Oryctolagus cuniculus: one gene and its partner. The protein of the gene in region 1 interacts with the protein of each later gene in a biochemical or structural test. Links are inferred from orthologs where the notes say so. Each region holds a gene or a part of one and is shown on either strand. Other genes may lie near its edges.

Region 1 (3,816 bases):
TTGGATCTGGCTAAAAAGCCCATTAGAGTTTCTCAGGCATGGAAAGCCAAGACACTGTGGCAAATAAAACGACCTAAATGAATGATCTCTGTGAGTAAGATCCCAGTGGAAAGAACGGGCCATCAAAGAAGGAGGTACCTTTCTCTGAAGTGAGGAGAAAACTTCCACTTTGATTATGGCCTTGTCTAAATAAGGTAGGAATTTGTGAATTCAAGAGGCTTCCTTAGCCTTTGCAGCTCACGACAAGTGTCTTGGGTAATTACTGACGTCATAAATAAGATTGTCAATTGTTAAAACAACAACGGGAGTCACTGTGCACTTACTCCCCATGTAGATCTCTGTCCTTAATGTGTTGTACTATGCGAATTAACGGTAAAACTAGTATTCAAACAGTATTTTCTACTTTGTGTATCTGTGTGGGTGCAAACTGTTGAAATCTTTACTTAGTATATACTAAGTTGATTTTCTGTATATAAAGATAATTGAAAATGAATCTTGAAGAATGGGATGGGAGAGGAAGTGGGAGATGGGTTTGCTGTGGGTGGGAGGGAGGTTATGGGGGGAAACGCCACTACAATCCAAAAGTTGTACTTTGGAAATTTATATTTATTAAATAAAAGTTAAGAAAAAAAAAGAGGTTCTAAGAAAAAATAGTCAACATAAAACTAATACTCTATAAAGACCAGATACAAAATTTTGACAATTAAAAATAAAATAAGATATTTTTAAAAATGCACATGTACATGTGTATGGCAATAATTGGTCAAACAAAAAGAAAAGGACTCAGAAAAGTAAATCAAACTTTTTTGACTGATGAAGACAAAAAAGTTATGACATAAAAGTTGACAGACATTTACTTCAAAATATCATTTCACTTACATGACTATTGTAAGACTCAGTCAAATGAGGTACAATAACTTCTGTGTGTCCCTTAGTGCCCATTGTTCCAGAATCTAAGAGAGGTCGTAGATTTGCTAAGCAGCGGCTATTTGAAAACATAATAAGTAAAAACTCAGGAGTGAGCAATAACAATGTAAACAAAGGACACCCTACCACTTCCTACTGACCATTTCACAGACTCAACACTCCCTGAATGTAATGTTTTAGAAAGTAGATACAATACCACAAAATAACACATTGATTTTTAGCATCCCACTCCCATACACAAATTTTGTTGCTCAACCTAGTCATTTTTGTCTCTCTCTTCGACTACTGTTAACTGAATCTTTGGCTCTTAACAGTGTTACCCTTTCTTCTCTTGCTTTCTATGTCTTCTTTGATGATTTTCTGACTGCCAAATTTGATACCACAATATCTTTTCTCCCAAACACTGTTAATCTTTCTCAATACTTAAAATTCCTATGTTCTACATACTTTAATTTCTTCTTTTTCTCAAGATTATCAACTTTTCAATGCATTTTTCAACTGGTGAACCCTAATATTAAGGAGTCATATAAATGTAATAAAGTAAGGTATATACAGTTGTAGTCATTCATTCAACTCTTATTTCACAAGTATTTACTGAATAACACCATGAGTTAAGCACTGAGGACACAGTGAAAGAACATAAACAGTCTTAGCATAAATGATTTAGTGAGGCAAAAAACATTTATACACATATAGATAAAAATAAGTACTACAAAGAAAAAAGTATAAAGTGCTTTGAAGGAATCCTGCAAGATCTAATTTAAGCTTTAGCAGTTCAAGAAAATCTGTTTAAACAAAGTCATTTAGGCTAATCTGAAAGCATGAGGAAAAAAACTAAGTGAAGAGTAGGTAGGCAGATCTAGGATCAGAAGTTCTGGAGCAACAGAAACAGAATTTTTTGAGGCTGAAGAATAGTAGGTCCAAGACCCAGAGATTAAAAAAAAAAAAAAGTGGAGGTCTTTAAGAACTGAAAAATGGCACATGCAGTGCAATGCAGCTGTTTATCACTGCCTTCTCACCAGGCAAAAGCTAAAGCAGCGAGTCTGGAGGGATCAGGAAAATTTTAAGCCAGACAGGTACACAGGTGATAATTATTCCATTAAAAACATTTAGGCACGTGACCAATTTTGATTGGAAAACATCAAAGGCTTTAGGTTTAGGGAGCACTAGAATAGGAACATAACGAACAATCAGAAAATCCAGTAACTTCTCAATAAGTAGTTGTGGGAAACAGTAATGAAAATTAAGGATAACTCTTTATGAACCTGAATTTCAAGAGCATACCTGTCTACATATCTCCTGGCTTCCACATTATCTAATGCTGTAATAATTATATCTTGCTTAGTATAGAACTCATCATTGTAAATGGTCTCAGTGGCTGGACATACTTTGTTCAGGTGTGCATCTATTTTTAGTTGAGGATTTATTTTCAGAGTCGCATCAGCAGCAGTATAGCTTTTAGGTTTCTAAAAAAATAAAAAACAGAAGGAATAACATTAAACAAAAAAGATGACTATGACTGAATATACATATTCTTATTACTTTAGTCGTGTGTGTGTGTGTGTATATATATATATACACACACAGAAGGTGAGAAAAAAACTAATGGATGAATTCATTCTTGGTTTGTGGAAATTATATTAATTGCAGTCACACTACATTTCATAATGCTCATTAGCCAAAATAATGTACATATTAATAAAAATCTGAATAATCTATATTTCATAGGTAAGTACCTCTGAGTTTTTTTTTTTTTTTAAAGATTTATTTGAGAGGTAGAGTTACAGAGAGAGAGAGATAGAGAGAAAGGTCTTCCATGTGCTGGTTCACTTCCCAAATGGCCACAATGGGTAGAGCTGTGCGATATGAAACTAGGAGCCAGAAGCTTCCTCTGGGTCACCTACTCGGTGCAGAGGCCCCAGCACTTGGGCCATCTTCTACTGCCTTTCTAGGCCATAGCTGAGAGCTGGATCGGAAGAGGAGCAACAGGACATGAACTGGTACCCATATGAGATGCTGGCACTCAGGCAAAGGCTTAGCCTACTATGCTGTAGCGCTGGCCCCTTGAATTCTTATCACAGTTAAAAGTCCAATTACAAGTAGATTCCCCACTGCCCCCAGTAATGATGTTTGGTTAAGTGCCTAGACAAAACTAAAAACATATTCAGTAAAATACTAGAAATTTAGACTGCAGAAAATAAACTGTCAGAGGTTTAACAACTTGATATCAAACATTTTAAAAATTATAAATATTTCTGGATAGAAATTATTACTTATGTTTTAGTTTTATAAAAAAGTAGGCCAAATAAAATTCATTCTTTTCTGAAAGATTCATTGATAATCAATTATTAAATCGTTACTTCAAGTGTTATCAAAGTTTATTTGTAAGTAAATATGACCATTCTTTCTGAATTCACGTATCTGGTTTTAAAGGTATTTCTGTCTCTTCTCACATTGTTAGGTTGACACATTTCAATGTTCAGTATTTTTTTATTTTTAGAGTTCTTTTAATCTTATTTTTATTTACTTGAAAGGCAAAGCAACAGAGATCTCCCATCTGTAGGTTCATTCCCTAAATGCTTTTAAGAGCAGGTACTAGACCAGGCTGAAGTCAAGAGTTAAGAATTCCATCCATCTCCCACATGGGTTGCAGGGATTCAACTGCTGCTGGTGTGCATTAGCAGAAAACAGGATCAGAAGTGGAGGTGGGACTGGATCCCAGGCACTCTGACATGAGATGTGGGCCTCCTAAGCAGTGGCTTAAACTGGCTATGCCACAATGCCCACTCCCTGTCAAGTGTTCTTAGTATACCAACAAACCAGAAACTTTGTTAGAATTCAGTAAAAATAAGAAACAGGCCTTTATAATTCTTCTATAAGTAAAATACA
Region 2 (3,816 bases), on another chromosome or scaffold:
GTAAAATGCGCCATGGCTTACTAGGCTAATCCTCTGCCTGTAGCACCAACAGCCTGGGTTCTAGTCCCAATTGGGGCGCTGGATTCTATCCCGGTTGCTCCTCTTCCAGTCCAGCTCTCTGCTGTGGCCGGGGAGGGCAGTGGAGGATGGCCCAGGTCTTTGGGCCCTGCACCCCATGGGAGACCAGGAGAAGCACCTGGCTCCTGCCTTCGGATCAGCTCAGCGCGCCGGCCGTAGCGGCCACTTGGGAGGTGAACCAATGGCAAAGGAAGACCTTTCTCTCTGTCTCTCTCACTGTCTAACTCTGCCTGTCCAAAAAAATGTTTGTAGTTGATGGACTTATTTAATGCACTTTAAATATAGTTCGAAGGTATTTGGAGTGAAGTTGTTCAGAATCGTCTGTTCTGCAGGCAGTACGGCTGCAGGCTCCTCTTGGACAGGTCCATCGGGGCAGTAACCCGTTGAACAGAGCCTGTGTTTGCCGTTCCTAAAGCAGTTCCTGCCCGCAGTCCTCAGCGTAGGTCTTTACACAGTCGCCTGGGGCTCCTGGAGCAGGACAGGAGGCTGGCGGGGAGCGGCCCTGGCCTTTTGCCTGCAAGGGAGTCAGGGTCCCTGAGTCGGCGCCTGCCCTGAGCAGTTTCTGTTTAACTCCTGCCGCCTCGTGCCGCCTGCTGTGGGTAGCCAGAGCCCTCAGCCATTGCTGGGTTAGTGGGCAGGGCCCGGGTAATGCCGGGAGGTGGCCTCCAGCGTGGGGACTGTGTCCTGCCCCACATCGCAGCAGGGCGGGAGCAGCGGTGAGACGCCTTCACTGGACTGAGGGGAGGCCGCGGTGCCCTCCCACCCTCCCACCCCTCCCACCCCACGCCTGTGCGGCTTCCGCAGCGTGGCGTTTGGGAGCGACCTGCCCCTTTCCAGTGTTAGTGGCCGATCTGGGCCTTGACCAGGTTGATGATTCCTTGCCTTTCCCACGTGCTCAGCAGTGAAACGCACGCAGCAGCTCTGACCACCCCTTTCTTCAGAGGGAGGTGGGAGCAGCGGGGGGCCGTGGACCACCTGTGTGAGCTGCGGTGCGGCCGCAGGCCTGGCTGGCCGTGCTGCGCTCCTGCTGCTCCTCACTGGGCGGGAGAGGCTTCCTGGCACCGCGCTGGTTGCAGGGAGGGCCCGGTAACCCAGGCTTGAGGCATCTCGGCTGCGGGGCCTGCCCTGCGCGGAGCGCGTGGCCTGGCCTCAGCCTGCCCTGGTCTCGGGCTGGAGCTGCAGGACAGCGTCCCCAGCAGCCCTGTCCACTGCGTCTCCCCGAGCAGCACGCACGCGCTTTCCTTAGACTGAGGGGCGCTGGGCCCCTCACGGTCTGTGGTTCACGGTGACGTTTTGCGGGCGGTGGTCACAGCCTCCGTGCGCGGGGTCTTCTGGGGACTTTCCACTGCGTGAAAGTGAAAGTCTTCCTGCACTGCTTTCTGGGCTTTTTTTGTCTTTTTCCTTTTGGTTATGGAAATAAATATTGCTTTTAATATTTACAAATCCATATTTTTATTAATTTCACTGAACCAAGACCATTTTAGGATTTTAAACAAGTATGTACTTTAAAAAAGTCATTTAGGGGCCTGGTGTTGTGGCGTAGGGGGTTAAACCACCGCCTGTGATGCCGGCACCCCAATGAGCACTAGTCTGAGCCCCGACTCCACTTCTGTCCAGCCCCTGCTGATGCACCCGGGAAAGCAGCAGAAGATGCCCAAGTGCTTGGGCCCCTGCACCCACGTGGGAGACCCGGATGAAGCGCCTGGCTTTTGCCCCCTTCTTTAGCCCAACCTGGCCCTGGCTTTGCAGCCACTTGGGGAGTGAACCAGCAGATGGAAGTGCACTCTCGTGTGCTCTTTTCTCTCTCTCTCTTTCTTTAACTCTTTCAAATAAACAAAAATTGTTTAAAGAAATCTTTTAGGAAATAAGTTCGTTTTAGAATACATTTTTCGTCGTCTCCTTTTCCTGTGCTGGTGGCCCCGTGGGGAGGCCCTTCTGTGCTGGAGCCTGCGCCCAGAGGGAGTGCTTCCAGGCCGCAGGGACAGGCGGGCTGCACGCTCCTGCTGCCGGCGTCGCCTCTGCTGTCGCCGTGTCCTGGCCGGCAGTCCGCAGTCCTTCGTTCTATTAAGTTCCCGTGGTGAGATGCTCTGAGGCCCGTCCACGGAGGGCGATGGGTTTGGGTGGAGGCGCAGGCTGGTGGCTGTCCCCTCTCCTGCGCCCCTCATGTTCTGCTCACGGTAGCATCGCTCACACCTGTGGCTTTCAGAACTCGAGCGGAGCTTCTGACAGGGTTTAGTGCGTCCCTGCCATTTATGTGCGTGTGCCCTCACGTGCACCAGTGACTGTGTGTGTACATCAGTGACAGGGAGACGTCTGTGTGTGTGTGTGCATACATGCATCAGTGACAGGAGACACGTGTGGGAGCACCAGTGACAGGGAGATGTGTGTCTGTGCACAGAGATGCATCGGTGGCAGGGAGAGACGTGTGTGGGCACCAGTGATGGGGGGAGTGGCTGTGTGTGTGTCTCAGTGGCAGAGCTGCTGGAGGGTGGGGCTCCAGGTGTGGGCTGAGGTCCCAGGGCTCAGCCTAAGTGGAAGTCAGGGGTTGTGTGTGTGTTTGCTTAAGGTTGTGAAAATCACTTCTTGGACACCTTTAAAAATTAAAACCAGCCTTTGAATACAACTCTTAACTCCTCATTTATGTCAGTAAAGTAGAATCGTGCTGTCAGTATGGCATAGTGCACACCGTTACCCCAGGGTGCGACTTTATCATACACACAGACCGGGGTCCCTAGGGCATTGCGATGTTGGCATCAGTTATTTTCTGATCCCACTATTACAAAGAGGTTTTGGCTTCTTGATTTTTTAAAATAGATTTAAACTTGTTAAAACTTTTGGACTGAGAGTGAGAGAGCAAGAAAACTGAGCCTGCAGTTCAGCCTTTGCGCTTGCACCCACGATTGGTTGATTTACTTTAAAATCTGAATTTTTATTCACTTACTTGAAAGGCAGAGAGCGAGATTATTCCTCATCTGCTGGCTCACTCCCCAGATGCCTGCAGTGGCGGAGGCTGGGCCAGGCTGGGCCAACGCCAGGAGCTGGGGGCTCCATCTGGGTCTGCCACGTGGACGGGGGGGGGGGGGGCCCTGCCGTGTGACCCGTCGGCAGGAAGCGGGGGTCTCCCCGGGCCAGCATCTTAACCACGGGCCGGGCGTCTCCGTCCGTGTAACTAGAGGTGGAAGGCTGGGGGCAGGGCGAGCCTCTGCATCCAGAGGAGTGCGTCACTCTGGTTTCGGTTACGCGGTCTTCAGGTGCTGTGGTGAACAGTGCACACCCTCGACACTGCGGAGACGTGACACTGCCCGATGCCTGATGTGCTGTTTCCATGTGCTTCCAGGGGCCCAGAAGACACCTGCTTTGAGTTTGGTGTTTTCCCCGCCATCCTGAGTTTCCCACTTGATTACCCGTTAAGTCCCCCGAAGATGAGATTCACCTGTGAGATGTTTCACCCCAACAGTAAGTGCCTTCCAGCGTCCTCTGCGGTGCCGGGCGCGGCAGGGAGGGCCCGAGCCACAGGAAGCGAGTGCGCCACCTCCCTAGACGCCTAGCACGCGATTGCCACCTGCAGGCGAGACGCGAGCCTGCCGCTGGGCCACAGTGGGTCGCTAGAAAGCAGTGTTAGCGTGAGCTCCTCCGTGTTGAGCGTGTGACCGGGCGGGCGTGCACCTGCGGAGGGTCACACGTCTGCTGTGGGGTTATTGTTCATGCTGGAACCCCAGTAAAGTAGCCTTTCAGCAA

Evidence for each region.
Region 2: the proteins of UBA6 (region 1) and UBE2G2 form a complex in vitro, tested with the Homo sapiens proteins (2 studies listed by BioGRID, with this or other methods). The link is inferred for Oryctolagus cuniculus from reciprocal best matches to the Homo sapiens genes UBA6 and UBE2G2.

The regions. Positions count from the first base shown.
Region 1 is NC_091439.1:97,638,310-97,642,125, reverse strand, and holds part of UBA6 (ubiquitin-like modifier-activating enzyme 6), read right to left. Parts: intron 2,394-3,816; coding exon 2,212-2,393; intron 986-2,211; coding exon 880-985; intron 1-879. UniProt on the Homo sapiens protein: Activates ubiquitin by first adenylating its C-terminal glycine residue with ATP, and thereafter linking this residue to the side chain of a cysteine residue in E1, yielding a ubiquitin-E1 thioester and free AMP.
Region 2 is NC_091435.1:1,789,689-1,793,504, forward strand, and holds part of UBE2G2 (ubiquitin-conjugating enzyme E2 G2), read left to right. Parts: intron 1-3,415; coding exon 3,416-3,534; intron 3,535-3,816. UniProt on the Homo sapiens protein: Accepts ubiquitin from the E1 complex and catalyzes its covalent attachment to other proteins. In vitro catalyzes 'Lys-48'-linked polyubiquitination. Involved in endoplasmic reticulum-associated degradation (ERAD).